4 linked regions of the Macaca fascicularis genome follow. The protein of the gene in region 4 interacts with the protein of the main gene of each other region in a pairwise test. Links are inferred from orthologs where the notes say so. Each region holds a gene or a part of one and is shown on either strand. Other genes may lie near its edges.

Region 1 (7,338 bases), about 31 Mb from region 4:
TCCTGCTCCTTTTCACTGGGTTTCTCCCCAGACCAAGCCCCTGGATTTGAGCTTCTGAGCAGCCAACTGTGATTTTTTTCATAAAGGAAAGAATTTTGCTCCTAGATTTATTTCTAATCCTTCTCTCCGTAACTGACCTTTTCTCTGTAAGCTATTTGTGGCTCTAGTGAGTTTTTGCTTGCTTGCTTGTTTTTGTTTTATCTTTGCCCTGAACATCCATCCTGGCCTCGGCTGCCTCCCTCCCTGAGTTCTGCGCTGCACCTCCTGTCTCAGCCTCCCAGAGAGGGTGGTGAGGGTGCTGATGCCCAGAGATACCACCCAGCGAATGGACCTCTCCCGTCATGCAGGGCAGGGCAGGGCTGCCAGCAGAGCCTTGTCCTGAACCCTATCTCCTCCCCCCTGCTCTCCTTAAGGGTCTTTCCCAGATGTAAAGGTCGCTCCCAGGCTCTACGGAGGCCAGACCAATTCCCAGTGGCTTGGGGACCCTCGTTCACTCCAGCACCAGCCCCTGCCCTCCTGCTTCCTGGGCCAGGCTGCCAGGTGAGCCCTGGGCCGAGGGAGGTTGCCCCACGGAGGCCGGAAGGACTCGAGCTTCCCATCTCCTCGCCTCCCCCAGGTCTTTCACCGTCTGGACTCATCTCTGGGTAACTCATGGTGTGAGTGGCCACGTGGCTGGCTCAGGTGAGTCCTTTTAGACCCCAGGTGACCCACCAGCTAGTCCGGGGCGCATTGCCATGCCTACCAGGATGTACCCCGGGGTGTCCTCCCTGCACTTGAAAGGTCTCCTTCGTGTGCTGTTCTCCATGGCTCCGTTCCCCCACAGGTGTTTGGAGAGCGAACGCCAGGTCCCCTCCTCCCCACCCCCGGCCTCTCAGAAAACACGCCCAGCCCCACGATGGCAGCAGAGACACTCAACTTTGGGCCTGAGTGGTGAGTCACATGTGCCTCGGCTGCCGTGGAGATTCGGGAAAGCACAGTCAGGCTGCCCTGACCTGTCTTCTTCTCTCTGTGTCGTGTCCAGGCTCAGGGCCCTGTCTGGGGGCGGCAGCGTGGCCTCCCCACCTCCATCCCCTGCCATGCCCAAATACAAGCTGGCTGATTACCGCTATGGGCGAGAGGAGATGCTGGCCCTCTACGTCAAGGAGAACAAGGTGGGTGCGTGGACGAGGGTTGTTGGCGGCGGTGGTCTCTGCCCATGGAGGGGATCTGGCAGCATGTGGTGTCTTGGCTGTCCCACCCCACCGCCAGGTCCCAGAAGAGCTGCAGGACAAGGAGTTTGCCGCGGTGCTGCAGGACGAGCCACTGCAGCCCCTGGCCCTGGAGCCGCTGACTGAGGAGGAACAGGTGGGGCCAGGCCAGGAGCTGAGGCTGCGGGGGCCGGGGAGGGGTGGCCGTGAGTCGGGCTAGGAGGAGAGGGGCCAGTGCTGGGGAGACAGGCCGGGAGGGTGCTGTGGGGTGGGAGTGGGGGTGGTCAGGTACCTGGGTCCTCACTCCCGCCCCTGGCTCCCTCCTCAGAGAAACTTCTCCCTGTCAGTGAACAGCGTGGCTGTGCTGAGGCTGATGGGGAAAGGGGCTGGCCCCCCCCTGACTGGCACCTCCCGAGGCAGGGGCAGCACGCGGAGCCGAGGTAGAGGGGTGATGGCGTGTCCCGGGGGCAGGCAGATCAGGGCCCCTGACTTTGAGGACGTGCAGCAGGTTTCAGTGTGCATCTGGCCTCTTATCTAGGCCGTGGCCGCGGTGACAGCTGCTTTTACCAAAGAAGCATTGAAGAAGGTGATGGGGCCTTTGGACGAAGCCCCCGGGAGATCCAGCGCAGCCAGAGCTGGGATGACAGGTGGGGCCAGGAGGGGGTGTGGCATAGAGCAGGGCAGGCCAGGGAGGGAGGCCTGGTTCCTGTTGCTAGAGGGTAACAGAGGCCTACCAGATAAGCCCTGTCAGAGATCCCTGTTCTCCTGACCCCTGGTTTCCTCTGTTCCCTCCCTCCCTCCACTGCCTCAGGGCACAGTGGACAAGGCATGGGGCGGTCGCAAAGGGTGGGTGGGGAGGCTGTACTGTTTTTGACCCACACGTTTCCCCTCCTGCAGAGGCGACAGGCGGTTTGAGAAGTCAGCAAGGCGGGATGGAGGTACGAGGTTGCTGAGGGCGGCGGCCGGGGCAGCGGGGAGGATCAAGATGGGTGGCCCAGTCTGAGGGTGTTTATTTCAGAGGTGCTGGGGGCAGGAGGGCCTGGAGCTGGCTCCCCACGTTTCCTGAGGGTCCAGGTACCACGCTGCCTTTCTGATAACTGCCCCTCTCTTCCATCTCCCAGCACGATGTGGGTTTGAGGAGGGAGGGGCTGGCCCAAGGAAGGAGCATGCCCGCTCAGACAGCGAGAACTGGCGCTCCTTACGGGAGGAGCAGGAGGAGGAGGAGGAGGGCAGCTGGAGGCTTGGGGCAGGGCCCCGGCGAGATGGCGACCGCTGGCGCTCCGCCAGCCCTGGTGAGATTGGGGCCCAGTAGCATTGGTGAGGGCAGTGGGGAGCAGGAACTGTCATGAGAGGGTGGGCTCCTGTAGCCCCTGGGAGGTAGCAGAGGCTGGCTGGTGTGGGAGTGGCTGGGACAGCAGCCCTGGAGGTGCTCCATGAGCTGCAGCAGAGAGGGCCGCCAGCTTTGCTTGGGTACCCACTCTTCTTCTCCCTGACTTTTCCTGCGCAGATGGCGGTCCCCGCTCTGCTGGCTGGCGGGAACATGGGGAACGGAGGCGCAAGTTTGAATTTGATTTGCGAGGGGATCGAGGCGGGTGTGGTGAAGAGGAGGGGCGGGGAGGGGGAGGCAGCTCTCACCTGCGGCGGTGCCGAGTGCCTGACGGCTTTGAGGAGGACAAGGATGGGCTCCCAGAGTGGTGCCTGGACGATGAGGATGAAGAAATGGGCACCTTTGATGCCTCTGGGGCCTTCTTGCCTCTCAAGGTATCTGCAAGGAGGTGAGGGTGGGAACCTGCCCTGCTGGGGTCCTCTTCCTCCTCACCCACCCAGCTGTTCTCTGCCCCCCACCCCTGCCCCATGCAGAAGGGCCCCAAGGAGCCCATTCCTGAGGAGCAGGAGCTGGACTTCCAAGGGCTGGAGGAGGAGGAGGAGCCTTCCGAAGGGCTAGAGGAGGAAGGGCCTGAGGCGGGTGAGCCTGTGAGGTGCCCAGCGGGCCTGGGGCCGGGCCAGACTGGCATGGGGGTTCTTTGCCAGGCTGGGCACTTGCTGCCCACCTACCTGTAGGATCAGGCTACTTAGAAGTGGAAGAAGAGTGTTGAGAGGTGGGGAGGAACCAGGGGTTAGCAGAGCCATGTCTTCAAGGCAGTGTACCAGATAGAAATCAGGCATAATCAGAATGACCTTTGAAAGTCCATTGAAGAAACTGCAGAACCTGGGGTGAAGTCTGCGGGGTTGTATGGTGTTGTGCAGTGTTGATACGTTCCTGCTGCGTCTGGCACATGGAGGCAAGGGTCAGGGCACCGCATTCCCGCTCCACCATTAGTTGAGTTGACCCAAGTGAAGTGGTGGACTTGGCCCGGGGGAGGGTGACCCGTGGGTCCAGCCACACACTCAAGGGCTTGTACTCACTCGCGTGGCAGGCCCAGCCCTTGGTTCTGAATTCTGGCCATCTTCCTCTTCTAGGTGGGAAGGAGCTGACCCCACTGCCTCCTCAGGAGGAGAAGTCCAGCTCCCCGTCCCCACTACCCACCCTGGGCCCACTCTGGGGGACAAACGGGGATGGGGACGAAGCTGCGGAGAAAGAGCCCCCAGTGGCCGAAGGTAGGAAGGGAGGATGACCTACCTCCCGGGTGCCCTGGGGCTGTGAGAGAAAGTGGTCCCCTTTTGTGGGGGTGGGCACACAGGGCATTCACATTGAGGAGCCATGGCAAGAGCTCAGTGTTCTGGAGTGAGGGTGGGCGGAGGCTATCTTGTCTCCTTGCCGCCCTCCCTTCCACCTCCTGTCCTCATGCCTTCCAGATGATATTCGGGGGATCCAGCTGAGTCCTGGGGTGGGCTCCCCTGCTGGCCCACCTGGAGATCTGGAGGATGATGAAGGCTTAAAGCACCTGCAGCAGGTGTGGGGGCCTGAGAAAGTGGGAGGGACCCTTCACACTTCTCCTGACCACCTGACCTGCTTGGCCCCGGCCCCGGCCCCAGCTCAAGCTCCATCCCCATCCCAAGCTCCATCCCCATCCCAAGCTCCATCCCCATCCTGATGGTGCTGAGATTGGCAGCTGAGACTTTCTTCTCTTCCTGGGCTTCCAGGAGGCGGAGAAGCTGGTGGCTTCCCTGCAGGACAGCTCCTTGGAGGAGGAGCAGTTCACAGCTGCCATGCAGACCCAGGGCCTACGCCATTCTGCAGCCGCCACTGCCCTCCCGCTCAGCCATGGAGCTGCCCGGAAGTGGTTCTACAAGGATCCGCAGGGCGAGATCCAAGGTACTTGTGTGGGATGGGAGGGCTGCTCAGGGCCATTCTGGTTCAGGGTGTCTCTGGCCTACCCTGTGACCACAGTGGTTCTCCTGCTCCCTTGCTCCCTGTCCAGGCCCCTTCACGACACAGGAGATGGCAGAGTGGTTCCAGGCTGGCTACTTCTCCATGTCACTGCTGGTGAAGCGGGGCTGTGATGAGGGCTTCCAGCCTCTAGGCGAGGTGATCAAGATGTGGGGCCGTGTGCCCTTCGCCCCAGGGCCCTCACCACCCCCACTGCTGGTGAGCCGCCTCTCCCCTGCATGGAGGGACAGGGTGTAAGGGGTGTGGGCAGGAGTCCAGCAGAGTCCCCTCTTCGCTGCTGCGGGCACTGGCCGAACTCTCACCCGAGCAGGGAAACATGGACCAGGAGCGGCTGAAGAAGCAGCAGGAGCTGGCCGCGGCTGCCTTGTACCAGCAGCTGCAGCACCAGCAGTTTCTTCAGCTGGTCAGCAGGTATGGGGGGCCTGGGGTGGGTTGGGAGAAGGCCCGGAGCTGGCTCTGTGGCCCACCACCTCCACTGTCCCATTTGCAGCCGCCAGCTCCCACAATGCGCGCTTCGAGAAAAGGCAGCTCTAGGGGACCTGACGCCGCCGCCGCAGCAGCAGCAGCAGCAGCTCACGGCATTCCTGCAGCAGCTCCAGGCGCTCAAACCCCCCAGGTGCGTGGCGCATGCTAGCCCTCAGGATACAGGGTAGGGAACGGGGGCAGACCAGAGATGGATTTGGGGTCCTGAGAATCCACGATTTGCTCCTCAGAGGCGGGGACCAGAACCTGCTCCCGACGATGAGCCGGTCCTTGTCGGTGCCGGATTCGGGCCGCCTCTGGGACGTACATACCTCAGCCTCATCACAGTCAGGTGTGTGGCCTGCCTGGCCCCCCACCCCCAAGGCAGTCTCCGGGTGAACTGGGGTCTGGGGTCTGCTCCCCACCCTTGCACCCCTCGTTGCCATTCTGGCTGGGGAGCCCACTGCTGCGGCTGGACTGGATCAGTGGGCCCAAGTGCCCACCTGCAGCTGCCTCTGCCCCCTGCCCCCTGCAGGTGGTGAGGCCAGTCTTTGGGACATACCAATTAACTCTTCGACTCAGGGTCCAATTCTAGAACAACTCCAGCTGCAACATAAAGTGAGTAGGCATCCTGGGGCTGAGGCCCTGGGAATGAAAGGGGGGACCGAGGCAGGCCCCAAGCTGTCCCCTGCAGCTCTCCCCTGATCAGCCACTGGTCTCAGTTCCAGGAGCGCAGAGAAGTGGAGCTCAGGGCGAAGCGGGAGGAAGAGGAACGCAAGCGCCGGGAGGAGAAGCGCCGCCAGCAGCAGCAGGAGGAGCAGAAGCGGCGGCAAGAGGAGGAAGAGCTGTTTCGGCGCAAGCAGGTGGGTGCTCCCGAGCCTCAGCTGGCTGGGGAGAGAGCCCTCGTCAGGTCCCCTCACTGTGTCCCCCTCTTAGGTACGGCAGCAGGAGCTGTTGCTGAAGTTGCTACAGCAGCAGCAGCAGGCAGTCCCCGTGCCCCCCGCGCCCAGCTCCCCGCCCCCACTCTGGGCTGGCCTGGCCAAGCAGGGGCTGTCCATGAAGACACTCCTGGAGTTGCAGCTGGAGGGCGAGCGGCAGCTGCACAAACAGCCCCCACCTCGGGAGCCAGCTCGGGCCCAGGCCCCCAACCACCGAGTGGTGAGCAGGCCAGGAACCTCCCAGGACCCCCCCATGCGGTTTCCAGGGTGGCATAGGGAGGGGGATCACTAAGCCCAGACTTGTGCAGCCCAAACCCCAGCCCCTCCTGTGATGGCAACAGCTCTTGTGGCCCTCGCCTCACTCCTCTCCCTATGCCACCTAAACAAGTCTCCCTGTCTGCTTTTCTGGGGTGCCTTTCTTTGAGCCACTCTGATCTTCTGCCATCTGTAGCAGCTTGGGGGCCTGGGCACTGCCCCCCTGAACCAGTGGGTGTCTGAGGCTGGGCCGCTGTGGGGCGGGCCAGACAAGAGTGGGGGCGGAAGCAGCAGCCTGGGGCTCTGGGAGGACACCCCCAAGAGCGGCGGGAGCCTGGTCCGCGGCCTCGGCCTGAAGAACAGCCGGAGCAGCCCATCTCTCAGGTGGGCGTGGCACCTGGAGGCTTGGGGTGGCCCTGGGAGGGAAGGTGGCAGACTCTCCCGCCCCCCGCCAGCTGATTTCCGACCCTGACTCACCCACCCCCTTCAGTGACTCGTACAGCCACCTATCAGGTCGGCCCATTCGCAAAAAGACGGAGGAAGAAGAGAAGCTGCTGAAGCTGCTGCAGGGCATCCCCAGGCCCCAGGATGGCTTCACCCAGTGGTGTGAGCAGATGCTGCACACACTGAGCGCCACAGGCAGCCTGGACGGTGCGTGAGCGGGTCCCAGGAAGTGGGCGGGGCTTGGGGCTCCAGACCTGGCCAGGGGGCCCTGACAGCCCTCGCTCATCCTGCAGTGCCCATGGCTGTAGCGATCCTCAAGGAGGTGGAATCCCCCTATGATGTCCACGATTATATCCGTTCCTGCTTGGGGGACACGCTGGAAGCCAAAGAATTTGCCAAACAATTCCTGGAGCGGAGGGCCAAGCAGAAAGCCAGCCAACAGCGGCAGCAGCAGCAGGTGAGGCACCCGGCACCAGTAGCTGGGGTGGGCTTGCCTGGCACTTCTTGACCTTCACCCTCCTCTCCGTTGCCTTAGGAGGCGTGGCTGAGCAGCGCCTCCCTGCAGACGGCCTTCCAGGCCAACCACAGCACCAAACTCGGCCCCGGGGAGGGCAGCAAGGCCAAGAGGCGGGCACTGATGCTGCACTCAGACCCCAGCATCCTGGGTGAGCTGGGCTGGGGCAGGAGCGGGACTTCCTTGGCACAGGGCAGGAGGAGCCCA
Region 2 (7,867 bases), on a different chromosome or scaffold from region 4:
TTTTTTTTTTTGGTAGAGATGGGGTCTCATGTTGCTCAGGCTGGTCTTCAACTCCTGGGCTCAAGTGAACCTCCTTCCTTGGCCTCTCAAAGTGCTGGGATTAGAGGCTTTGGCCACCACATCCAGCCTGAATCTTATTATTTATATTTTCTTTTAGTCTCCCATTACTAGAAGGCAGGGATTTTGATTGCTGTTAATTTTCCAATATCCAAAATAATGTGTGGTACCTAATAGGCTCTCAATATCGAAAAGGAATAGTGCACATGGCATTCTGTAGTATTAGGTTGGTATCTTGTGTTCCTGTGTTTGCATAAATAAGATCATACATAATGTTCTGGTTTTTTAACTTAATGACTTTTTTTTTTTTGAGATGGTGTCTCACTCTGTCGCCCAGGCTGGAGTGCAGTGGCTCCATCTCCCCTCACTGCAAGCTCCGCCTCCTGGGTTCGCACCACTCTCCTGCTTTAGCCTCCCGAGTAGCTGGGACTACAGGCGCCCACCACCACGCCTGGTTAATTTTTTTGTATTTTTAGTAGAGACGGGGTTTTACTGTGTTAGCCAGGATGGTCTCCATCTTCTGACCTCGTGATCTGCCCACCTCAGCCTCCCAAAGTGCTGGGATTACAGGAGTCAACGCGCCCGGCTCAGCTTAATGGCTTTTTTTTTTTTCTTTTTTGAGACAAGAGTCTGGCTCTGTCACCCAGGCTGGAGTGCAGTAGCGCTCCATTGACCACACCTGCCCAATTTTTTTGTTTGTTTGTTTTATTTTTTAGTAGAAACATGTTTCACCATGTTGGCCAGGCTGGTCTCAAACTCATGACCTCACGTGATCTGCCCGCCTCCGCCTCCCAAAGTGTTGGGATTACAGGCGTGAGCCACCACGCCCGGCCATGTCTTTTTTTTTTTTTTTTGGAGACAGTTTTGCTCTTGTTGCCCAGGCTGGAGTGCAATGCCACGATTTCGGCTCACCGCAACCTCCGCCTCCCGGGTACAAGCAATTCTCCTGCCTCTGCCTCCCCAGTAGATGGGATTTCAGGCATGCACCACCACGCCCTGCTACTTTTGAATTTTTATTTTTTAATATTTATTTATTTTTTCGAGATGGAGTCTTGCTTTGGCTGGAGTGTAATGGTGTAATCTCGGCTCACTGCAACCTCTGCCTCCCGGGTTCAAGCGATTCTCCTGACTCAGCCTTCTGAGTAGCTGGGATTACAGGCACACGCCACCACGCCCGGCTAATTTTTGTGTTTTTAGTAGAGACGGGGTTTCTCCATGTTGGTCAGGCTGGTCTCGAACTCCCGAACTCAGGCTGCCCACCTCAGCCTCCCAAAGTGCTGGGATTACAGCAGTGAGCCCCCGTGCCCGGCCCTTTTTGTTGTTGTTTTAAATTCAGTAATTGGCCGGGCGCGGTGGCTCAAGCCTGTAATCCCAGCACTTTGGGAGGCCGAGATGGGCGGATCACGAGGTCAGGAGATAGAGACCATGCTGGCTAACACGGTGAAACCCCATCTCTACTAAAAAATACAAAAAATTAGCCGGGCGAGGTGGCGGGCGCCTGTAGTCCCAGCTACTCGGGAGGCTGAGGCAGGAGAATGGCGTGAACCCGGGAGGCGGAGCTTGCAGTGAGCTGAGATCCGGCCACTGCACTCCAGCCTGGGCGACAGAGCGAAACTCCGTCTTAAAAAAAAATAAAAATAAAAAAATAAAAAAATAAATAAATAAATTCAGTAATTATATCTAGTTCATTCTTGGATGGATGACAACCCAGATTGGATGTAGCAGCGTTCTCTTAACCAGTTTCCTGTTTTTTTTTTTGAGACGGAGTCTCGCTCTGTCGCCCAGGCTGGAGTGTAGTGGCCGGATCTCAGCTCACTGCAAGCTCCGCCTCCCGGGTTCGGGCCATTCTCCTGTCTCAGCCTCCTGAGTAGCTGGGACTACAGGCGCCCGCCACCTCGCCCGGCTAGTTTTTTGTATTTTTTAGTAGAGACGGGGTTTCACCGTGTTAGCCAGGATGGTCTCGATCTCCTGACCTAGTGATCCACCCGTCTCGGCCTCCCAAAGTGCTGGGATTACAGGCTTGAGCCACCGCGCCCGGCCCAGTTTCCTGTTAATCTACATTTCACCCCCAGTATTTCTCGAGAATGCAAATATGGCATTAAACATCTCCACACATAACTTTTTGTGTATATGTTTACTTATTTCTCTAGAATTCATGTCTAGAAGTGAAACTGCCGGGAGGAAGGATACATACTTTAAAAATGTCCAAGTTCCACTCTGATAGCGCTGAGAGGGCACACAACAGGTTTCAATGTACCTTGGATCAATATTATTAGTTTTTCTAACTCTTTGCTAATGTGATGGGGGAAAAAAAATGAATCCCCAATTTACACACGAGGAAAAGACCGCTTAAGGTTCAGGGACTGTCCACATAGCTGTCAAGTGCCAGAGCCGTAATTTGGCATTAAAGTGTCCGACTCCGGAGAGTCAAAGTTGGACACTGTGCTCTGTGTCCTGGGGCACGTCTGATGATCGCTGGGCCTTGCAATGCTGGCAGGCAGGCCTTCCTCTCCCCTTCTAGGCCTCTGGCCACTCCTGGCTGGCCGCAAGCCGGCTCTTCTCGATTACCGAGTGCCCCTCCTGAGAATAAGCCAGCATCGCCTAACCTCTTCAGCTCCGAAATGGCGGCCACCAGATCGCGAGCCCACGCCCCGGGGGCGGGGCCTGTGTTCAGGCCAGAGCGATGGATGCCCGAGCCAAGTTAGAAGTCGACTGCCAGGAGGGCTAGCGCAGAAGCGGAGAGCCGGTGGCGTCGCAGGTCGGGAGGACGAGCACCGAGTCGAGGGCTCGCTTGCCGTGGCCGCCCGAGAGTCTTAATCGCGGGCGCTTGGGCCGCCATCTTAGATGGCGGGAGTAAGAGGAGAACGATTGTGAGGTGGAAAGGGTTTTCTGCTGCATTCCTTGGGCCCCGAAAAGGGTCAGCTGGCCGGGCTTTGGGGCGCGTGCCCTGAGGCGCGGAGCGCGTGTGCTACGATGCGGGGGCTACTCGGGGCTCCGTCCCCTGGGCTGGGGACGCGCCGAATGTGACCGCCTCCCGCTCCCTCACCCGCCGCGGGGAGGAGGAGCGGACGAGAAGCTGCCACCGGACGACAGGACGTTGGGGCGGCCTGGCTCCCTCAGGTAGGTGGCAGGGGCCGGGTCGTGGATGCCGGGGGAGCCGGGCGGCGGGACTGAGGGACCGGCTTCCAGGGCGAGCGGGCCTGGGTGGCGCTGATGGAGCGGCCCCGCGGCTGCCGGGCGGAGGGCTTGGGCCAGGCCGCTGTCACCCCGGTTAGCGTTGGGCGGGGGCCCCGGAGTCCGGTGTCATGGCCGGCGAGCCTAGTTCCCACATCCCACTCAAATTTCCTTGTGTTTTGCGGAAACGTGCCAACGCCACCCCTGTGCCAGTGCGCATTCCTCATTATTTGGCAGTGGGAAAATCCGCCCAGAGTTGCCCCATGTCTGTTGTCACTTGGATGGGCCAATTCCTTTTCTCTTGGGCCGTCGATTGTGGGACCCGGGCTTGCACGCAACCTTTCTCTGGATACTTCAGTCAGGTGACACCCTTTTAGGGAGGACGTGAGGAATCGGGTAAGAGAGGAGGAAACTGGCCAGTGCCCTACCACAAAGTCACAGGGTTCTCTTCTTGGATATCAGGACTAGCCTTGGGTATCAGGACTCTGTGGGTTATTAATGAAAGTCTTGAGATGCTTATAGAGGATTGGCCTCAGGACGCTTTGGAACGAAGAGCCAGGGCTGCCTTTTGTGTGAAGCGAGAGCCGCCGGGACGCTTCAGCTCTGCAGCTGCTGAGGCTCTGCGAGCGAGTCGATACCCAAGAGAGAGGAGTTTGGACGTCGTGAGAGGCGAGGCGGCCGTGTTCATTCATTGTTCTCTTTCTAGGGCTCTGGGTGTGCCCCTGGTATTCATTCTGTGGTGGGAAGAAGGATAGGAACTTCTGTGTCTCCTTGAGGTGTGAACGGGTTCTAGGGGGTCACTTAATCTAAGTAGGAAATGATTCAAGGCACGTTCATTGAACGTTTCTGCTTGCCTGGTCCTCTGTGGGCTGAGTGGAGAGATTCTGCCCTCCCTGCGCTCCTAAGGCGTGAAAACAATGCAGTGTGATAAGAATTGGCTTACCAAGTGTTGTGAGGATTTAGAACAGTTAGTTTTCCTTGGGGAGGAGTTGAGGAAGCTTCTATACTCGAGGAGACTTAAGCGTCGAGTTTTGAAAGACCGGTGAGTAAGTGCTCACCAGGTGAGGAGGAACTCAGGAAACAGCTGGTACAAAGGCTTAGAGACATGTGGGAGTTGGGATGAGTTTGGGGAGCAGCAAATTGCCTGGGGTGCAGGAAGGAAATGGTGAGAGATGAGAGAAAAATAAAAGTTGCTAGAATTGTGAGGGGATTTTGTTGTAGATGGTGAACTAATTGAATTTGGATTATTGTATATGATTTGCTGAATCTTTATTCTTGCTGATAGTTTTCTCCCTTTGTCGATGTTGAAGCTGATAGTGATTGAAAAGATTTAGTTTGTTAAACTTAATGACTTTTTAGTTTTTTTTATTTTTTCAGAACAATTCAAACTTTTTCTTTTCTTTTTTTTTTTTCTTTTTTTTTTAAAGGAACAGGATCTCACTCTGTCACCCAGGCTAGAGTGCAGTGACATGATCGTAGCTCAGTTGCAGCCTCTAATTCCTGGGCTTAAGCAGTTCTCCTGCCTTTGCCTCCTGAGTAGCTGGGACTACAGACAGGTGCTACCACACATGGCTAATTAAAAAAAAAAAATGAGTAGAGATGGAGTCTGACGGTGTTGCCTAGGCTGGTCTCAAACTCCTGGGCTCAGGTGATGTTCCTGCCTCCACCTCTCCCTCCCAACGTGCTTGCTGGAATTACAGGGGTGAGCCACTGGCCAGGCAGAACTTTTTTTTTTTTTTTAATAATAGAGAGAGGGTTGCACTGTGTTGGCCAGACTGGTCTAAAAAGTATGCCTTCAATAGAACTCTTGGGCTCAAGTGATCCTTCAGCTTCAGCCTCTCAAAGTGCTGAAATTACAGGTGTGATCCACTGCGCCTGGCCAGCAGAACATTTAATGTTTTGCACTTACACAGTGGTGAATGAATTGAACTCATATATTCCTGGGGATTCTTGCAAAAAATTCTCCTAAAGTTATACTTGCTCACAAAAATGTTAACTTTATAAATGTAAAACACTCTCCTAATATTTGTTTTATTATCCTATTATTTTTTATTTTTTTGAGACAGAGTCTCACTCTTTTGCCCAGGCTAGAGTGCAGTGGTGCGATCTCGGCTCACTGCAACCTCCGCCTCCTTGGTTCAAGCAGTTATCCTGCCTCACCGTCCCGAGTAGCTGGGATTACAGGCACACATCATCACGTCCGGCTGATTTTTGTATTTTTAGTAGAGATGGGGTTTCGCTGTGTTGGCCAGGCTGGTCTCGAACTCCTGACCTCAAGTGATCTGCCCACCTCGGCCTCCCATGGCCTCGCTGGAATTACAGGTGTGAGCCACTGTGCCTGGCCTAAATTTTAAATATAAATAATGTACTCCCCAGTCTTACAGAAATTGGACGACTCTAGAAAACAAACATCCAAAAAATGTGTAGGATGTATTTTTAGTTTAATAAGTGTATTTTTTAAACTATTTCTTGGTATTGACTTCTTGGATAACAACCTGTTATAAAATCTTTATCCCCATAAACATAATTTTCCTAAAATAGGTATAATACTGTGATTAATGTTTATGCTAAAGTGACTATTACGGAATTAACAGACTTCAGTTGCAGTTCCTAAACCTTACTTTCGTTGTGATGATTATATACCACTGAAGAACATTCAGGATTATTTTGACTTGTTTTTACCCTTATCACTAAAGGGCTAAGCTGTTTAAAATGCAGCATAAACATTTGACCCAGTTGAATGCTGGGATACTTGGAAAAATAAACCTGTTACTGTTTCTGTACTAAAGGCTTATCTTTTAAAGATATGTGGTTTTTTTTTTAGTGCAGTGGCATGATCTTGGCTCACTGTAACCTCTGCCTCCTCCCGGGTTTAAGCATTCTCCTCCCTCAGCCTCCCAAGCAGCTGGGACTACAGGCACCTGCCACCACGCCTAGCCAATTTTTATATTTTTAGCAGAGACGGGGTTTCGCCATATTGGCCAGGCTGGTCTTGAACTCCTGATCCACCTGCCTTGGACTCGCAAAGTGCTGGGATTACAGGCGTGAGCCATCGTGCCTGACTGGTATGTGGTGTTTCGTGGTTATAAATTATAGTGGAATTCCTTTGTTAAAGTCTTGTCAGTAGTTGTAAAAACATCAGCCAGTTGTGGGGGCTCATGCCTGTAAGCCCAGCACTTTGGGAGGCCGAGGCTGGTGAATTGCTAGAGCTCAGGAGTTTGAGACCACCCTGGGCAACATGGTGAAAACCTGTCCCTACAAAAAATACATACACAAAAAAAGAAAAAATTAGCAGGGTATGGTGTAGTATGCCTGTAGTCCCAGCAACTTGGGAGGCTGAGGTGAAAGGATCACCTGAGCCCAGGGAGGTTGAGGTTCAGTGAGCCATGTTCATGTCACTGTACTTCAGTGTTGGCGACAGAGACCCTGTCTCAAAAAAAAAAAAAAAAGTGTGCCTTCAATAGAAGGCTTGAGCATATTTTATGGGATTTGGTTTAGCTGAAAAAAACAGTGAGAAGCAAATTAAGCTGGTAATTTCTGATGAAAAGTATCTAAAAGATGAAGAACGTTAAGCATCAAGTATTATATAACAGTTGCTCTGAGACTAGTTGCTTTTAGTTTATTCCATTTGTTTGCTCTGAAGATTAAACAACTTCTTGTGAGTTAAATTTGACTTTTCCAGAAGCACTGGAATATTTAGGAAATGAAAAATACAATTGATAACTTTAAACTACTATTTCAGGTAGTCTATTAGTAATAAATGTATGATTCTACATTTAAATTTCAGGTAAATCTTTGTTAGTAACCTACTGCCTAAAAAAATGTTACATGAGGGAGTACTTTTGTTTGCATGTTAGGAACATAATAGGCCATACATAATAATCTTTTTTTTTTTTTTTTTTTTTTTTTTTTTTTTTGAGACTGAGTCTGGCTCTGTCGCCCAGGCTGGAGTGCAGTGGCCGGATCTCAGCTCACTGCAAGCTCCGCCTCCCGGGTTTACGCCATTCTCCTGCCTCAGCCTCCCGAGTAGCTGGGACCACAGGCGCCCGCCACTTCGCCCGGCTAGTTTTTTTTTGTATTTTTTAGTAGAGATGGGGTTTCACCGTGTTAGCCAGGATGGTCTCGATCTCCTGACCTCGTGATCCGCCCGTCTCGGCCTCCCAAAGTGCTGGGATTACAGGCTTGAGCCACCGCGCCCGGCCCATACATAATAATCTTGATCTTGGGAGGAGCTTGTTAGCCAAACAGCATGCCTTAATGTTGACTTGCAGAAGAGAATTTTAAATATTGCCTTTGAAAGGCAATGTACTAATGTGACAGTGAGGAGGTTTATGAAACCATGAAATTGAGCTTTGACTTAGTTTTTTGTTTTTAAGTTATGCAGATCTTGGGAGTCATTTCTTCAAAACAAATGACTGTGAGGTGGAAAATTGCTTACCTTGAGTAAATTAATTGGAAAATCAGAGAACACTGGGTTTATTTAGAATGAGGTTGTTTAGGTCTTTTATTGGTATGTGTATGGGAGGGTAGAATTCCTAATTGCTCATCTGACTGGGTTCAAAATGTAATACTAGATATTTGTGTTGCAGTTCAGTCGATACTTTTGGTATGGGGCTAACTTATCTTGCCTGTAATT
Region 3 (7,338 bases), on a different chromosome or scaffold from region 4:
TCACCGTGTTAGCCAGGATGGTCTCGAACTCCTGACCTCGTGATCCGCCCGTCTCGGCCTCCCAAAGTGCTGGGATTACAGGCTTGAGCCACCGCGCCCGGCCATTTTTTTTTCACTTTTAGTATAGATTAATTAAAAGGATTGAGTTTGTCATTACGAGAACATGAACTTTTATTGTCATAAACTGAGGACATCAATGTATGTTATTCTGGATTTCCAACTATTTTGATGTGAGATTTTATGAATGTTATGAGTTATATATGTTAGCACATGTGGAATGGTGACTGAATAATTTGTTTGCACAATTTAGGATGATCTTGTCCTTTTAAAATAGCAGTTTAGTTTACTTGTTGTACCAGGCTCTCTTGACATTAATGTAACTTTTTAGATATTAAGTTAGATATACCTTAACTTTGAATTTTGTTCAAAAGCAATTTATGGTATGCCTGTATTGTATTAGGTGCTAGAGTAAATGAGGTTATACTACTTTTCAATTTTTATTTTTATTTTTGGGGGGCAGTGGGGGATGGAGTCTCGCTCTATCGCCCAGGCTGGAGTATAGCGGTACGATCTCTGCTTACTGCAACCTCCGCCTCCTGGGTTCAAGTGATTCTCCTGCCTCAGCCTCCTGAGTAGCTGGAATTACAGGCACTTGCCACCACACCCAGCTAATTTTTGTGTTTTGAGTAGACACGAGGTTGCACTGTATTGGCCACGCTGGTCTCCAACTCCTGACCTGTGATCTGCCCTCCTCGGCCTCCCAAAGTGCTGGGATTATAGGTGTGAGCCACCATGCGGCCTACTTTTCAGTTTATAATCTGTTTTGGAATAAAAGAGGGCCTGACATGTACAGATACCATGTTTAGGCAGAATCACCAGTAGGTGTTGGTTATATAAAGTATGTTGTATAATGAAAAATATCGTATAATTTTAAAAAGTATGTGCTGGTAAGGAGGGATTGGCAAGATACAGTGTTAGTGAAAACAGCAAACAAAACAACATTTATAACATCCAGAGGGTGGCGTTTGTGCGTGTGGATGAGGGAGCTATGTATACATGTGTAAGTGTACCCACAGACAGTGTTTGGAAGACTTTATAAGAAACTTGATGATGGTTACTTCTGGGGAATATGACTGTGAGGGTCTTGTGTAGGAAGATGGACTTTCCATTGCATGGCTTTTTAAAAAAAAAAAAAAAACTGTACATAATATTTTTGTTAAAAAATAATTGCACAGTCTGTGAACATTCAGCCTTAAGAAATGTGTCTAATAATATATGCAAATACCCACAGTTATTTTAGTGATTTTTTCCTGAATATTGAAATGGACACATTTGCAGGAAAGCTTGATTTGAACTGTGAAGTTTGTTTTCAAAATCTTTACTGGCAGAGGCTCATGGTTACTTACCATATTATTTTCTTTATAGGGAGACCAAATTTTGAGGAAGGTGGACCAGCATCAGTAGGGAGAAAGCATGAATTTATACGCTCAGAAAGTGAAAATTGGCGCATCTTTAGAGAGGAACAAAATGGAGAAGATGAAGATGGAGGTTGGCGACTAGCTGGATCAAGGAGGGATGGAGAGAGGTGGCGACCTCACAGTCCTGGTAAGAATTCTGAGTAAAGGTCCATAGGGACTGAAATAAGGGGAAATTTGATGGAAATAGGGATTAAATGGAAAAGATAAACTGGCTTAAAAAAGGTGGGGGAGGATTCATATTATTTATGCTGTCACAGTTTTATTACTAGAAAAAATTGCAACATAAAAATTTCCTGCTACATCTGTTCAGTTTATTGAAATCACTTTTCTATTTTTCTGGGGCAAATAGTGTAGTTTAATGGGAAGCACATGCTCTCAACTGCAAAAATGAGGGTTTCATTCAGTTTTGTCTACCTCTAAATCTTTGAATCTTTTTTCAGCATTCTTTAAGATTTATAAATGTATAAAAATTATACACTTGAAATATGTGCTTCCCTCCCCAACAGTGGGTGTTTTTCCTAACAAGAAAGGGTTTATTCTTTCATTTTTTCCCCTTGAAAATGTGATTTAACCTTATTTGAAGAATAAGCTTTAAAGCTAGGTCAGAAACATAATCACAAGTTCATTCTTATGTCCTTCTAACTTTAGAAGAAGGAGAGAGAATAATACTGATTAGTGGTTTTTAAAGTTCTTCTGTTTGTCTCTTAAGAATGCTTCAAACTGTTCTTCTTGGACATTAGATATGCTGGTAATTGAAGACACTAGTGCTTTGTGTTAAAGTTCATATCCTACCACAGTGCTGATTCCATGCCTCATGATAATCAGATGCAACTGTAGTTCCAATCGTGGGGTCATGCAAAACTGAAGCACACAAAGTATGTGCATGCCCTATGAATTTCATGTGTATGACAGTATTTTATCAACCATGTGCCAGAGAGGCTTACCTTTAATACAGGAAATCATGATAATGTAAACTGTTTTCACTTTTAAAAATCAAGTTATTAGCAAAACCACTAGCTTAGATCTGGGTAGACATTATAACAGGCATTCAGAGTATTTTAAGGAAGTGGTAGGTAGATAGAAACATACTGAAGTTAATGTTTGGGTAGGGTTAGGATGCTTTTATACCAACTCTTCATGGCTGCCTCTTGGGTGGGTTTTCTGTCATTAGTGGGCATTGTTTACATCACAAGATCTAGACAATTTTCATTAGTCTGTGTCCTGAGCCAAATGTTATAGTTCTTTAAAAGGCATTTTATGCTGAGCTTGTCCGTAGGCAGAGGGTTTGTAGACTATGTTCCCAACAAGCATTCAGTGAAGAATGGATAGGATCTGGGTTGAGAGAGAAACGAAATTCCAGCTGGTCAAAAACAAACAAGGTGAATGTTTTGGAAGATGAACAATGTTTTTTGAGCCCTAATGTCTGATGTTGATTCTATTAAAGGGAGTTTATCAAAGTACCTCCCACCCAACAACTTAGAATTTGGATATATATTATTTTCTCATCTTTTCTAAATCTTTTTTTCCCCCTAATATTTGACTTTCATGTCATTTTTGTCATCAACTTGTGTATCTTCCAGAACTTTTAATCCATATACATATATGTTTTTTCAGTCACACCTGTGGCTGAAATCCATATATTTTTAAAAGATAGTTTGGGGGGTACAAAGATATATGGGTCTGAAAAAACAGTGTAAATGCATTTTAAATAAAGAATACTATTCACTTTTTAAACCCAGTATATTCAAAGTATAGCCTGATTATAGCAGTTTTCATATGTTAACTCTTAACATTTGTTAGTTTATGGTTAATCTTTTATTAAGATTTGAGTAAAACTTTAAAGTATTTTAACTGCTTTTATCTTTATGAAAACAGGATCCAACTTTAGTTTAGATGCAGGGTCTGTAAATCAGCAGTCGGCCTTAATAAGTACCTTACATGTCTTACTTGCTGTATTTAGTTTTGTGAGTAAAATTTTATGAACTACTGGTAAGATAACATTATGGGATATAAAATAGGGCTTCCAGCTGGATGCGTATGGAGTTGGGACCATTAAGGACAGGAAGGCATCCAGTCTGGGAGCTGAACCTAAGAAACTCAGTAAGAGGAAGCATGAGCCAGGTACCTAGAAGGATAGATTCCTATCATGATGTACATTTAGACTGTTAGAAATGAAAGCAGTACAGAGGGCTCTGGAATTCATTTGATCATGAAGACTTTTTTCGCATAATGGCTCAAGGTTTCCATGTAAGCAGTCTGGGTATAAAATTCCTTAGTTCTCATAGGAATTAGTAAATAGTGTTTTGTTGTTGTTACATGAAGGGATGGGAGTGTGGGAATAAGATATTTTTTTTGTGAGTGGCTTATCAGATGCTACCTGTATTTGGCTTTTTAACATTTTGCCCTTTGTTTTCCAATTTGATTTTTAGATTGCTGGTTTTTGCAAATTTTGTCTCAATAGTGAGAACATTTAGCTCTGGCCACATTTCTTTTTCTTATCCCCCACAGAGAATGCAGTCAAGGATGGAAAATTCTAATAGGTTAAAGCCTGCTTTTTTTTTTAAGACTCTTTAAGACTCTGTCAGAGTCTAGGTCTGTCAGATTTTAACAAGAGTTTCCGTTTCTTTTTTTTTTTTTAGAAAAATACCTTAAGTAGGATCTTTTATTATTAGGCAGTCTTTTTTTCTGTTGGGAAATGTAGATTTAGGAATGTCCCTGGGAGTGTTATATGGATAGGGAGAATTAAGAGATGAGAAAGAAGGGAAAGGAGAGTAAACATGTTATTGTGGAACAAGCAGCAGAGGGTACAGAATTGGATTTTAGTTCTACTTTGCCATATGCGAGTTACTTCTGCTGGCAAAGTTTTAGTTTCTCCTTAAACTATAAAATTAGGATAGTGGACTTTATAAAATCTCTGTGACAACTTTCAGCGCTGTAAATTTCATGAATTTTGGGGGGAGAATCAGAATTACAAGTGGGAACCTGGCATTAATAAATAGGCATGATGAGTTTGATATTATAAATCGACACAGGGAGCTGATTTTATCCATAAACGATATTTTCATGGGAAGAAAGAAAATGCTTTAAGATTGGGCAAAGGGAAGGTATAATCTTCAGTATGGAAGGATGTCTAGTGCATTAAGTCTGGATGAGGATTTGGCGGCTAATTGGTATTTTAATCAAGTACCTAGGACTTATTAAAAGTGCTTACTTGGAATACAGTGTCCTTTAAATGTGCTTCATTTTAGATTTATCTTTTAAAGCTTTAGAGTATGTTGCATGGCTCAGTACTTAAGTACTGTTGTCGTCTCATAATGGTATATATACTCTGAACTCTGAACTTACATTTAGTTGCCTAATGTTCTCTTTACTAGGTCAGTCCATTTGAGTTTGCAGTCACTTGTAGTTTTCTCCTTTATTTTCTATTCCTGATTTTCTTTTTCAAATACTGTCATAAAACTTTTCTAAGGTTTGTGTCCTCCTTCTCATCTCAGATGGCCCTCGTTCTGCAGGCTGGCGGGAACACATGGAACGACGTCGAAGGTTCGAGTTTGATTTTCGAGATAGAGATGATGAAAGGGGTTACCGAAGGGTTCGCTCTGGCAGTGGGAGCATAGATGATGACAGGGATAGCTTGCCCGAATGGTGCTTAGAGGATGCTGAAGAAGAAATGGGCACATTTGACTCATCTGGAGCATTCCTCTCTCTAAAAGTAAGAAATGTGTTTTAAATGTCATGACCAACATTAACCTTATACCAAAGCCAAATCTGCTGTTGATCTTTGATTTTATTCTCTTGCTACAGAAAGTGCAGAAAGAGCCTATTCCAGAAGAGCAGGAGATGGACTTCCGGCCTGTGGACGAAGGGGAGGAGTGCTCTGACTCTGAGGGTAGCCATAATGAAGAGGCCAAAGAACCTGAGAAGACAAATAAGAAAGAAGGAGAGAAAACAGATAGAATAGGAGTTGGTAAGGCCTCTTCTTGCCCTTTACCTTTTTTTTCCTCCATCAAACCAAAACTTTCCTAAGTTCAACTAAGATTACTTCGTGTTCCAGAAGCTAGTGAGGAAACTCCCCAGACCTCATTATCATCTGCTAGACCAGGCACTCCTTCAGACCATCAGTCTCAGGAAGCATCACAGTTTGAGAGGAAAGATGAACCAAAAACCGAGCAAACGGAAAAAGCTGAAGAGGAGACTCGGATGGAAAATAGTCTACCAGCCAAAGTGCCCAGCAGAGCGGATGGTATGTATTTGTGGGAATAGACAAGCTAAAATAGGATTCTGCTGAGGCCAGTGATCATTGATAAGATAGGCTTCTACTTATGCCTCCTAGAACTGCTTTTAGTGGGTGAATTATCAGAATAGATTATTTTACCAGTAAACCCAGTCAAGGAGGGCTTCTCACTTATGTGTCCGTCTCAGAATTTACCAAAACAGAGAATCTGCAAGGGTGGAGCTCTGGAATCTCCTGTCCTAAGGTGTTATGACATAGCCACTGTGTCATTACTAGTGAATTGGGTGTCAGATCCTTTGCATTAGTTTGATTCCCATATCAGACAGTTACCTTCCTTTCATGTGTTGACTGATTATGTGCCCAGCTTAAATTACCAGATGACACACCAAAGTGCCATTGTTCTAAAAGAGGCCAAGAAGAGAACATATATGAATCTGTGGCACAATAAGCTTAAAATATATCTCTTTTTCAGTGTTAATGTATTGGTTTAAGTTGCTCATACACTTTATTAGGCAATATTAATGCTCATTTCCATGTTTCTTCTTGTACATATTAGAAAATGTCATTGTAATGCCTGACGTTGAAGGGTTGCTTGATTCATTTACCGTAAAAATTCATACCTTTTAACATGACATATGAGACACTGCACAATCTGGCATCTGCTTCCCTTTGTGCAGTTTCATTGCCAGCCTCTTTACCTCCCTCACATTCTACTCACCAGCCTCAAAGCCTTCTAGGTCCTGAAATATCTCCTGTTTTCTAGGGTTCATACCTTAGCGCGTCGTTTTCTCTGTTCTTGAAACTCTCTTCCATCCAAAGCCCCCAGACTAGGGTAGGTGTCTTCTTCCTTTGTTTTCTTAAATAATCAGCCTTATTTCTAACATAGCATTATAGTATCATAAAGATGTTTATTACCTTTTTTCCCAGTAGACTGATACTTTGAGAACTCAAACCAAGAATTTTTCAATTTTTTAAATGTCTAGAACAAAGCTGATTTTTTTTTTTTTTAAAGAGATGAGATTCACTGGGTGTGATGGCATGTGCTTGTAATCCCAGCTACTCGGAAAGCTGAAATGGGGGAGATCACTTGAGCCCAGGAGTTTGAGAACAGCGTGGACAACATAGCAAGACCCCTGTCTCTAAAAACAAAACGAACAACAACAAAAATGAGACAAGGCCTCGCTATGTTGCTCAGGCTGGATCCGAACTCCTGGGCTCAAGTGATCCTCCTGCCCTTAGCTTCTTGAGTAGCTCAGCAAGTACTTGAATCTGTACTCTACATAGCAGGCACTGTGAGACTGGTATATCTTTGAGACAGTTTGATTTGTAGTAGGATATGCCCCAGAACTACTTGTGGTACATTCTTTTGAATAAACATGCTTGAAGCCTTATTCAGGAGATTCTTGGATCAAGTCTAGATATGCATATTCTGAGACGGCTTCAGAGATGTACATTAAAGGTCAAAACTCCAGATTTATAGTGTGTAGGGGAGATAAAGCGTGCGTGTATCACTATTCCAGAGCACAAAGTAAGATAAGGGTTCACTGCTGGCAGACTCTTGGGATACTTCAGGAAGTAGGTGGTCTCTGAACACGTCTTGGAATAGTAAGTAGAATTTGGAGGTAA
Region 4 (7,338 bases):
CAGGATACAGTTGGTTTCACAGCCCACCGGTTATCCCGAGTTCCTGGGCCCCCTTTTGCCAGGGCACCAAGCCCTCACCTGTCCACCTGGATCTGACGGCCAGGGACACGTCTCCCTGTGTGTTTACACTGCCATGTGCAACTTTCCCGCGATCTTTCCAGGGGCAGCCCAGGGAAACAGGGAAGTATTGTCCGCAAGGATGGGTGCCTGCATGGGTTTGGCCACCCCCTTTAGGCCTGGTGGCTGCCCCCAAGCATCCTCTTTGGCTGTCCTCAGGGTTCTTTGGAGACAAAATGCCCTTTGCTTTGGAAACAGACATATTCTCCTTACTTAGGTAGCTGTCACCTCCCATTTTTATTTCTCCTTATTTTGCCTGATAAAAATTTTTAGTTCTGTAAATCAACCATCAACAGTTTATTAGATCGTTGGTTTTGGTTTTGGATTTTTGTTTTTGTTTTTTCCTGTAACTACAGAAAGACATTTTTCTCTGAATAAACATTTCAACAAAAGTCACTGATTTGTTTTCCTTCTGGAAAATCCATTTTCGATGAATGAACCTCTTTTTGGAAAGCAAACCTAACAGTTTTTGTTGCATGTTCTTGGTTTCTCTCTTTTTCTATCATGGGGAGACATGAGGGCCATGTATTGGTTCACATGTTGCTAGCAGCATTCCCTCCCAGACAGGGACAAACGGGAACTGCTCCACACTTGCTGGTGGTGCCAAGTCTGAGCTTTCTGGCAGCCACGGGGAGAAAATTCCTTTCCTTCACAAACTCTGGCTTTAAATGTGTTTTTACCAAGGAATCCTTTCCTTGTAATGTCAAAACCAGGGCCGAGCACGAATCAGCTCCAGAATTTGCTTCTGCATGCCAGTCGGGGCCCATCGGAGATGCGTGCCCATGGCGACAGTTGTTCTTTGTAGACGGAAAGTCTTTTCTGCATTCTTAGATCACTTTGACTCAGAAATGCTTTTGCCTTGAACTTCATTCCTTCCTTCCGAGATGACACTTTCCTCAAGATTCCAGTCTGGCTGCAGGAGAGGAGGGTAGGGTCTTAGGACGACAGAACTGCCCTGGTGTCAATTCCATAGCATGTTAATCTTTACCGTTTTGGCATCAGTTCACACTTTGACCCTGCTGTACATTTGTTCTTGTTTATTCCGTGATTTAATAAGGTTAGTTTCCCGTGGCCACCACCGTCCTGTGACAGCTTCTGAGGAGGTGCCTGGGAAGGGACGTAGCTGTCATGAAAGGGGGCAGTGCGGCCTCTGCAGGCACACGCTGTTCCAGGGTATGCTGAGTTCTTCCCGCTCCACCTGGAACCACTGTGTTCACACAGTGAGGGAAGCGACTTTTCCCTTTCCGGGGGACGGTGCTGCTATGGAAGATGCTGTGAAGGAGGCGTGTGCGTATGTGCATGCGTGCGTGTGTACGTGTCCGCAGCGGGTGCTGGAGGATGGAGTGTGTTTTTTTCCCTGCCTTTACATGTAATTCAGTTGACAAGAACTATTCCATGATGTGGTGCGTGCAGGCTTCAGTGTGAAAGGTGAGTATGTACGTACCGTCTCGCTGTGCATCACGGCCCCTCCCACAGTACACAGCACCATCGTTTCTGGCAACCAAGTTTGATGTCATTAGAAAGCTTGCATCTCGGCCGGGCACGGTGGCTCATGCCTGTAATCCCAGCACTTTGGGAGGCCAAGGCGGGCAGATCACGAGGTCAGGAGATTGAGACTGTCGTGGCTAGCATGGTGAAACCCCGTCTCTACTGAAAATACAGAAAAATTGGCCAGGCGTGGTGGCAGGCGCCTGTAGTCCCAACTACTCAGGAGGCTGAGGCAGGAGAATGGCGTGAACCCGGGAGGCAGAGCTCGCAGTGAGCTGAGATTGCGCCACTGCGCTCCAGCCTGGGCGACAGAGCGAGACTCTGTCTCAAAAAAAAAAAAAAAAAAGCTTCCATCTCTGGGCCCTCTTTGGTCATCCTCCCCTTTCAAGTTCTTTCTCCTTTGTTTCTTGTTGTAGTCTTTTATTTACAAGAATTGAAATTTATTAATTTAAGGGCAAAATCATTTGCTGAGAGTATTATGGACTCATTCCTTAACATCTGGTTGATGCCAAATTCAAAAGAAGTATATAAAAATAAGTATTGACCTGAATTCCTCATGCTGTGTATCTTAAGACCTCTTATGAATTTGGTAGTACATAAAAGAGAGATTTAAATTTAGTTTCCTTCCTGACCTCGTCTCTATTCATAATGTTTAAAGAATAGAAAGTTGAACAAATCTTGCATTTGGTTGTAAAGCTACCATGAATTTCCCACCTGTTGCATCTCACATGTGATACTTTGCCCCTGCAGAGAGGTGCTTGGAAGACCACGAGCTGGTGGTCCAAGTGGAGAGTACCATGGCCGGTGAGAGTAAATTTCTATTCCGGAAGAATTATGCAAAATACGAGTTCTTTAAAAATCCCATGGTGAGTCTTACGTCTTCAGGTTTGGGGTTTGGGACTCTTGACATCTGGAAGTTTATACTTGGGTTTCATAGTATCAGATTAGAAAGTGACTGAGAGGCACGACGTAGCATATCGGTTTGAGAGTCAGAGTTGCAGTTTAATGAAGCAATCCTTGCTTGAAACCCAGTCTCGTGCTTCACTAAATGTGCCTGGGACTGGCTGAAGATAGAGGTCTCCTTCTTCAAATAGACACAGTGTAAAGGGGGTTAGTCTCTAAGACAGGAGCTGGGGGAGACTGGGCGTTTTCTGTTATTTTGAAAGTTCTCAGTTAAACTGATCAAACACTTAGCAGAAGAAAAACTCATTATTCTCTGCACACAGCAAACACATTTTGTGATCATACGTGGAAGAATGACTAGAGAAATCAGTGCGATTGGTGGTGTCTTGAGCTGGTCACCTTGATCTCTCTTCCCCTTTCTTTCTTTGGGAAAGAAGGCACTTGTCCTGTGAGAGGCCGGGATAGGGAGGGCACCTCCTAGCTCCTGGGGTACTTACTGTCGTCCTGAGTCATGGGGCAGAGCTGTGTCAGCTGGGGAGAAGACCCAGGGTCATTTCTGACTCTGATAATTTAGCTGCTTTTTTATTCCAGAGTGAGAAATTTGAAGACTGTTTTTGGGGAATGCAACAGAAAAGGCTTTTCTCGTGACTGGGCTTACCTTTTAGTTTCAGGAATTCTTTATCTCACTCTTTGCCATGGAGTATGCTGTGAGACATGCATCCCTTAGTAAACATAGGTGGTATTCCATACTCGTACCCAACATTTCAGGAAATGAAATACAACCTTTTGAAGGAGCTATTTCTTCTGTGTGATAGGAGAATAAAAAGGACTGCCATTTTAAATACAGGTGTACATAATTATATTGGTAGGAATAGTTTTAAAATTTACTTATCTATATGACATACCTTCCCTCACTTTGAAACTAACCTTTCACGTATTTGTTTTTTCCCATTTTCTTAGAATTTCTTCCCAGAACAGATGGTTACTTGGTGCCAGCAGTCAAATGGCAGTCAAAGCCAGCTTTTGCAGGTACTGGGCCAAAATAGACCTCTGCTGAAATAGACTTTCTGAATAGAAATCCTCTTGGAACTGAATGGCAACATTGTAAAAAACCTGAAGAGATTGCATCTTTCATCATTTATAACTTTGGCCCTTAAGGGGGTTTAGAGTAACCAGAAATTAAAAAGTTTACTTGGAAAATCTGTGTGTAGCTGGATTCCTGCTGAGCCAAACAGGCACTTACACACAGAATGCCCTTGCTCTGACTTAGAAGAGTCCAGTGATGCCACTGCTGAGTGTGGCCCGGGGGGTGCATGGAGAAACCCCAGTTTCAGGGCTCCCCAGCTCCTTTCTGAGCAGGGGTCCCAGGTCAGGCCACCGCCCAGCTGCTTGGAAATCTCTGCAGAAGCGCTGAGTCTATAGTAAAAGATGATTGGGTTACCACGACAGACTTTTACAAGTAACTTGCCATACATTACAAATAAAGAAACCTGCTTTAATTGTCCTAAAGTCTGTTCTGAGAAAATCTGGTCTCTCCCCACCTCCTCTTCCAGTGGAGGGAGCCACCAGGGCCTCTGTGCTCAGCTGTCACACACGCTCCTCCAGGGAAGCTGGGAGCGGGGAATGGGAATGTTACAGCTACACCCTAAAAATATGCCTGTGTACATGTCAAAAGTGAAAGAATGAATCATTTCCTAAGGCCACCAACAATATCCAAGTGACATATTACATGTAACAGAAACTACTAAAATATAGTTCCTACAGAATTCTGCTCATAAGCCCTTCTTTTGCTATGTTGTTATCACCAAATTTGTTTCAGCATCTAAAAGATAAGAGCTTCAGAGCTCTGTTCCGGTGGTGTCTTCAGAAGCCCTTCTGACCATAGCATGTGTCTGTTCTGGTGAGAGGTGTCAGTGCTAAGGTACCACCTGTACACCGTGAACAGTGAAATGGCACATTCTGTTTTAACTTGCCTTGACTTTGGGAGGACTCATGTGCTTTGTGAAGATATGCTGTGGTCTCTTGAGACTCAGGAAGGACTGACCCAGGTGCACTAGGGCTCTGTCCGACGTGCCTTTCCCACCTGGGGGAAAAGAGCTTTGTCCCCTCCCAGTCTAGTAGCAAGACCTGCCAACATCACCTCCCCAACTTTGCTCCGTGACCTGGCCCTCGGCCTGTCTTCCCTTTGATGAAAAGCATAGTTTCTTGTTTTGTTTTGTTTTGTTTTGATAAAGGCTTTATTCTTAAGGCTGCCTGTGGGAAAAGTTAAGTGGAACAGGGGGACATCACCAGGATGTCCTGCACCTGGGTTCATCACTTGCAGACAAATGACACCTTTTATGTGACCCTTGACTGGAGGGGTGCCTGGGTAAAAGTGGCCACTACATGCTCACTCTCAGTCCCCAGAGCCCCACTCACTCAGTCATGGCACTTGCTCTTGCCCTCAGTCTGATATCAGACTGGATCCTTCAGTGCACTCTCTTACAGGGAAATTCGTGACTTGTGTTATCACCAGTGTTAGAAAGGTCCATTTGCTTGCATGTGTTTAAATACGAATTATGTTCTATGCAGCACCAATTGAGATGGGATTTTAAGACTTTGGAAAGGAGAACACGCTCAGTTTGATCAAAAAAAGGAGTCTTTTAATAATTCAGAAAATGTCAGTTATGCTAATAACATGTCTGCTTTAATTATTTTAGATTAGCATTATGTAATTTTTAAAATTTGTTCTTCAACAGAATTTTCTGAACTCCAGTAGCTGTCCTGAAATTCAAGGGTTTTTGCATGTGAAAGAGCTGGGAAAGAAATCATGGAAAAAGCTGTATGTGTGTTTGCGGAGATCTGGCCTTTATTGCTCCACCAAGGGAACTTCAAAGGTGAGCTTTAAAACCTGCCACCACCAGCCCTGATTCTGCCCCCGTCACTGCCCCCGGGAGTCCTCAGAGTAAACCTAGGCTTCATTTTTAAATGCACCTTAGACTCCTCCAGGCTCAGGACAACTTCTTAATAAGCTAATTGTGCAACAGCTAAACTTGGAGTCACAGGTTTCCTGGTCTCCCTCAGAAACTAGGTAATAAATAATACATACCTAAGAACCCCACCTGCCCAGCCCCACCCCCACTGTGGGTTGGTAGCAGACCTCCCTGGCTGCCCTATCACTTCAGAGACTGGCCTAGTTCCCATAAGTTGGGATTTAAGCTAGCTGTAAAGATGTTTGATAGATGATTGCCACCCTAATGCCAGTGTAACTTTATGTATCAGATATTTTATGAAATAAATTTCAGGTTTGCATGTATCCGTAGTGAGAAGAAGGTGGGAGATGGAAAACAGCTGCAGGCCCTCAAAAGACAGCTGGTAGCACTGAGGGCTTAGGCTGGAGGCTCCTTCGCTCCCATGTACACTCTTGCCTGCTCTCTTCTCGTGCTGTCCACATACACCCTGTGGCAGGAGCCATGTCCATTCAACGTGGCTGAGCACTTACCATCTGAGGGCTACGGTCTCTTTTACTCTGGCCAGCAAAGGGGAAAGGGAGCTGGCGGGACCCTGGCACAGGTGTTGAGCATCAGGCCAACTCTGGGAAGTCAGCGGCTGCTGACGCATGGGCCAGAGAGAAGGGGGGTCATCTGCAGAGAGGGGCTTTGGTCTGACACAGGGCATGGTAGCGTCCTGACCTCTCAGCTGTGCTGTGTGGCCTGCTCAGAGTCCTCGTGTGTGCTGAAGTCGGGAGATTATTTCCTAGAGCAGGAAACAGAGCTAGGCTGGAGAGTTGAGGAGGAGAAGGGTGGGACAAGCTACCAGTGGGAAAACCCAGGGTACGATTGGACTCTGGATGCACAGCAAACCAAAGGCAGATAGGCCCTGTGCTCTTAACTCTGACCTTTGGGTTATAGATTTTCTTCTGCTTTTTATCTTGAATATCTGGTCATGGGGCTTTGATTTGGCAGAAGTATCAAATACGTTCCAACAGTCTTGTGTGTCTGAGAATTGGGGAAGTGGGTGTTTTGGGTGAGACTGGGTGAATTTGGTTTTAGTTTAGCACTTATCACACCTCATGTAATAATCATATGTAACATGTAAAGTGTCATTGGGGAAAGTGCTTATAAGTGTGCAGAGACTGCCCTCTGTCTACCAGAGGTGAACACATTTGCCCTTTGCTGGGCTTGAGACTTTAACCTGGCCGTTGTTGTCACAGGAACCCAGACACCTGCAGCTGCTGGCCGACCTGGAGGACAGCAACATCTTCTCCCTGATCGCCGGCAGGAAGCAGTACAGCGCCCCTACAGACCACGGGCTCTGCATAAAGGTACACCCGAACTGTCCACAGACGGCGCGCATGCTCAGCAGCCCACTGGAAACTGACTTCTTCTCTTGCCCAGCACTTGATTGTTGCTTCTGTTGTCTTCAACAGAAACATAGTTTCACACTGGATTCCTCCATTCCTGTAAAAACATCTATTGTACACTTGCTGCTGTCAGCCCTTGAGTAGCTCAGAAGCTCAAGGACAAGCAAACAGGGATAGACAGTGTGGCCAGTGGGCTCAGTGTTTTAGGGAGGGTGGCTTTTGGCTTCAAAGGGTGGGCTGTGGCTGTAGCCCAGTACTAGTAGCTGGAAGGGGAGGCAGGGCAAGGGAGAGGACCTCCAGCCTGTCACCTGGGTTGCCTGCATGGTTCTGAGTGAGCTGATGGCTTCTGTGTGGGCCTCTGGCCGTGGGGACAGTCAGATAGGAATGGACACAATGCGGCCCACCCTCTGCATGCACACACACGCGTGCACACACATCTGTGTGCACATACCACATGTGTATACATACATGTATACATATATACCTGT

Evidence for each region.
Region 1: the proteins of GRB10 (region 4) and GIGYF1 interact in a two-hybrid assay, tested with the Homo sapiens proteins (2 studies listed by BioGRID). The link is inferred for Macaca fascicularis from reciprocal best matches to the Homo sapiens genes GRB10 and GIGYF1.
Region 2: the proteins of GRB10 (region 4) and RAF1 interact in a two-hybrid assay, tested with the Homo sapiens proteins (2 studies listed by BioGRID). The link is inferred for Macaca fascicularis from reciprocal best matches to the Homo sapiens genes GRB10 and RAF1.
Region 3: the proteins of GRB10 (region 4) and GIGYF2 interact in a two-hybrid assay, tested with the Homo sapiens proteins (2 studies listed by BioGRID). The link is inferred for Macaca fascicularis from reciprocal best matches to the Homo sapiens genes GRB10 and GIGYF2.

Annotation. Positions count from the first base shown.
Region 1 is NC_088377.1:49,275,351-49,282,688, reverse strand, and holds part of GIGYF1 (GRB10-interacting GYF protein 1), read left to right. Parts: exon of another isoform or gene 1-413; 5' UTR 414-540; intron 541-616; 5' UTR 617-681; intron 682-823; 5' UTR 824-895; coding exon 896-930; intron 931-1,021; coding exon 1,022-1,151; intron 1,152-1,248; coding exon 1,249-1,344; intron 1,345-1,515; coding exon 1,516-1,627; intron 1,628-1,725; coding exon 1,726-1,834; intron 1,835-2,084; coding exon 2,085-2,125; intron 2,126-2,308; coding exon 2,309-2,479; intron 2,480-2,694; coding exon 2,695-2,948; intron 2,949-3,047; coding exon 3,048-3,153; intron 3,154-3,286; exon of another isoform or gene 3,287-3,456; intron 3,457-3,647; coding exon 3,648-3,785; intron 3,786-3,807; exon of another isoform or gene 3,808-3,936; intron 3,937-3,983; coding exon 3,984-4,081; intron 4,082-4,271; coding exon 4,272-4,443; intron 4,444-4,549; coding exon 4,550-4,716; intron 4,717-4,828; coding exon 4,829-4,929; intron 4,930-5,008; coding exon 5,009-5,134; intron 5,135-5,231; and 15 more. UniProt on the Homo sapiens protein: May act cooperatively with GRB10 to regulate tyrosine kinase receptor signaling. May increase IGF1 receptor phosphorylation under IGF1 stimulation as well as phosphorylation of IRS1 and SHC1.
Region 2 is NC_088376.1:150,944,686-150,952,552, reverse strand, and holds the start of RAF1 (RAF proto-oncogene serine/threonine-protein kinase), read left to right. Parts: upstream 1-2,872; 5' UTR 2,873-3,177; intron 3,178-7,867. UniProt on the Homo sapiens protein: Serine/threonine-protein kinase that acts as a regulatory link between the membrane-associated Ras GTPases and the MAPK/ERK cascade, and this critical regulatory link functions as a switch determining cell fate decisions including proliferation, differentiation, apoptosis, survival and oncogenic transformation.
Region 3 is NC_088386.1:128,708,254-128,715,591, forward strand, and holds part of GIGYF2 (GRB10-interacting GYF protein 2), read left to right. Parts: intron 1-1,425; coding exon 1,426-1,605; intron 1,606-4,972; coding exon 4,973-5,190; intron 5,191-5,282; coding exon 5,283-5,445; intron 5,446-5,532; coding exon 5,533-5,721; intron 5,722-7,338. UniProt on the Homo sapiens protein: Key component of the 4EHP-GYF2 complex, a multiprotein complex that acts as a repressor of translation initiation. In the 4EHP-GYF2 complex, acts as a factor that bridges EIF4E2 to ZFP36/TTP, linking translation repression with mRNA decay.
Region 4 is NC_088377.1:79,811,709-79,819,046, forward strand, and holds part of GRB10 (growth factor receptor-bound protein 10), read left to right. Parts: intron 1-2,355; coding exon 2,356-2,471; intron 2,472-3,468; coding exon 3,469-3,537; intron 3,538-5,246; coding exon 5,247-5,384; intron 5,385-6,700; coding exon 6,701-6,811; intron 6,812-7,338.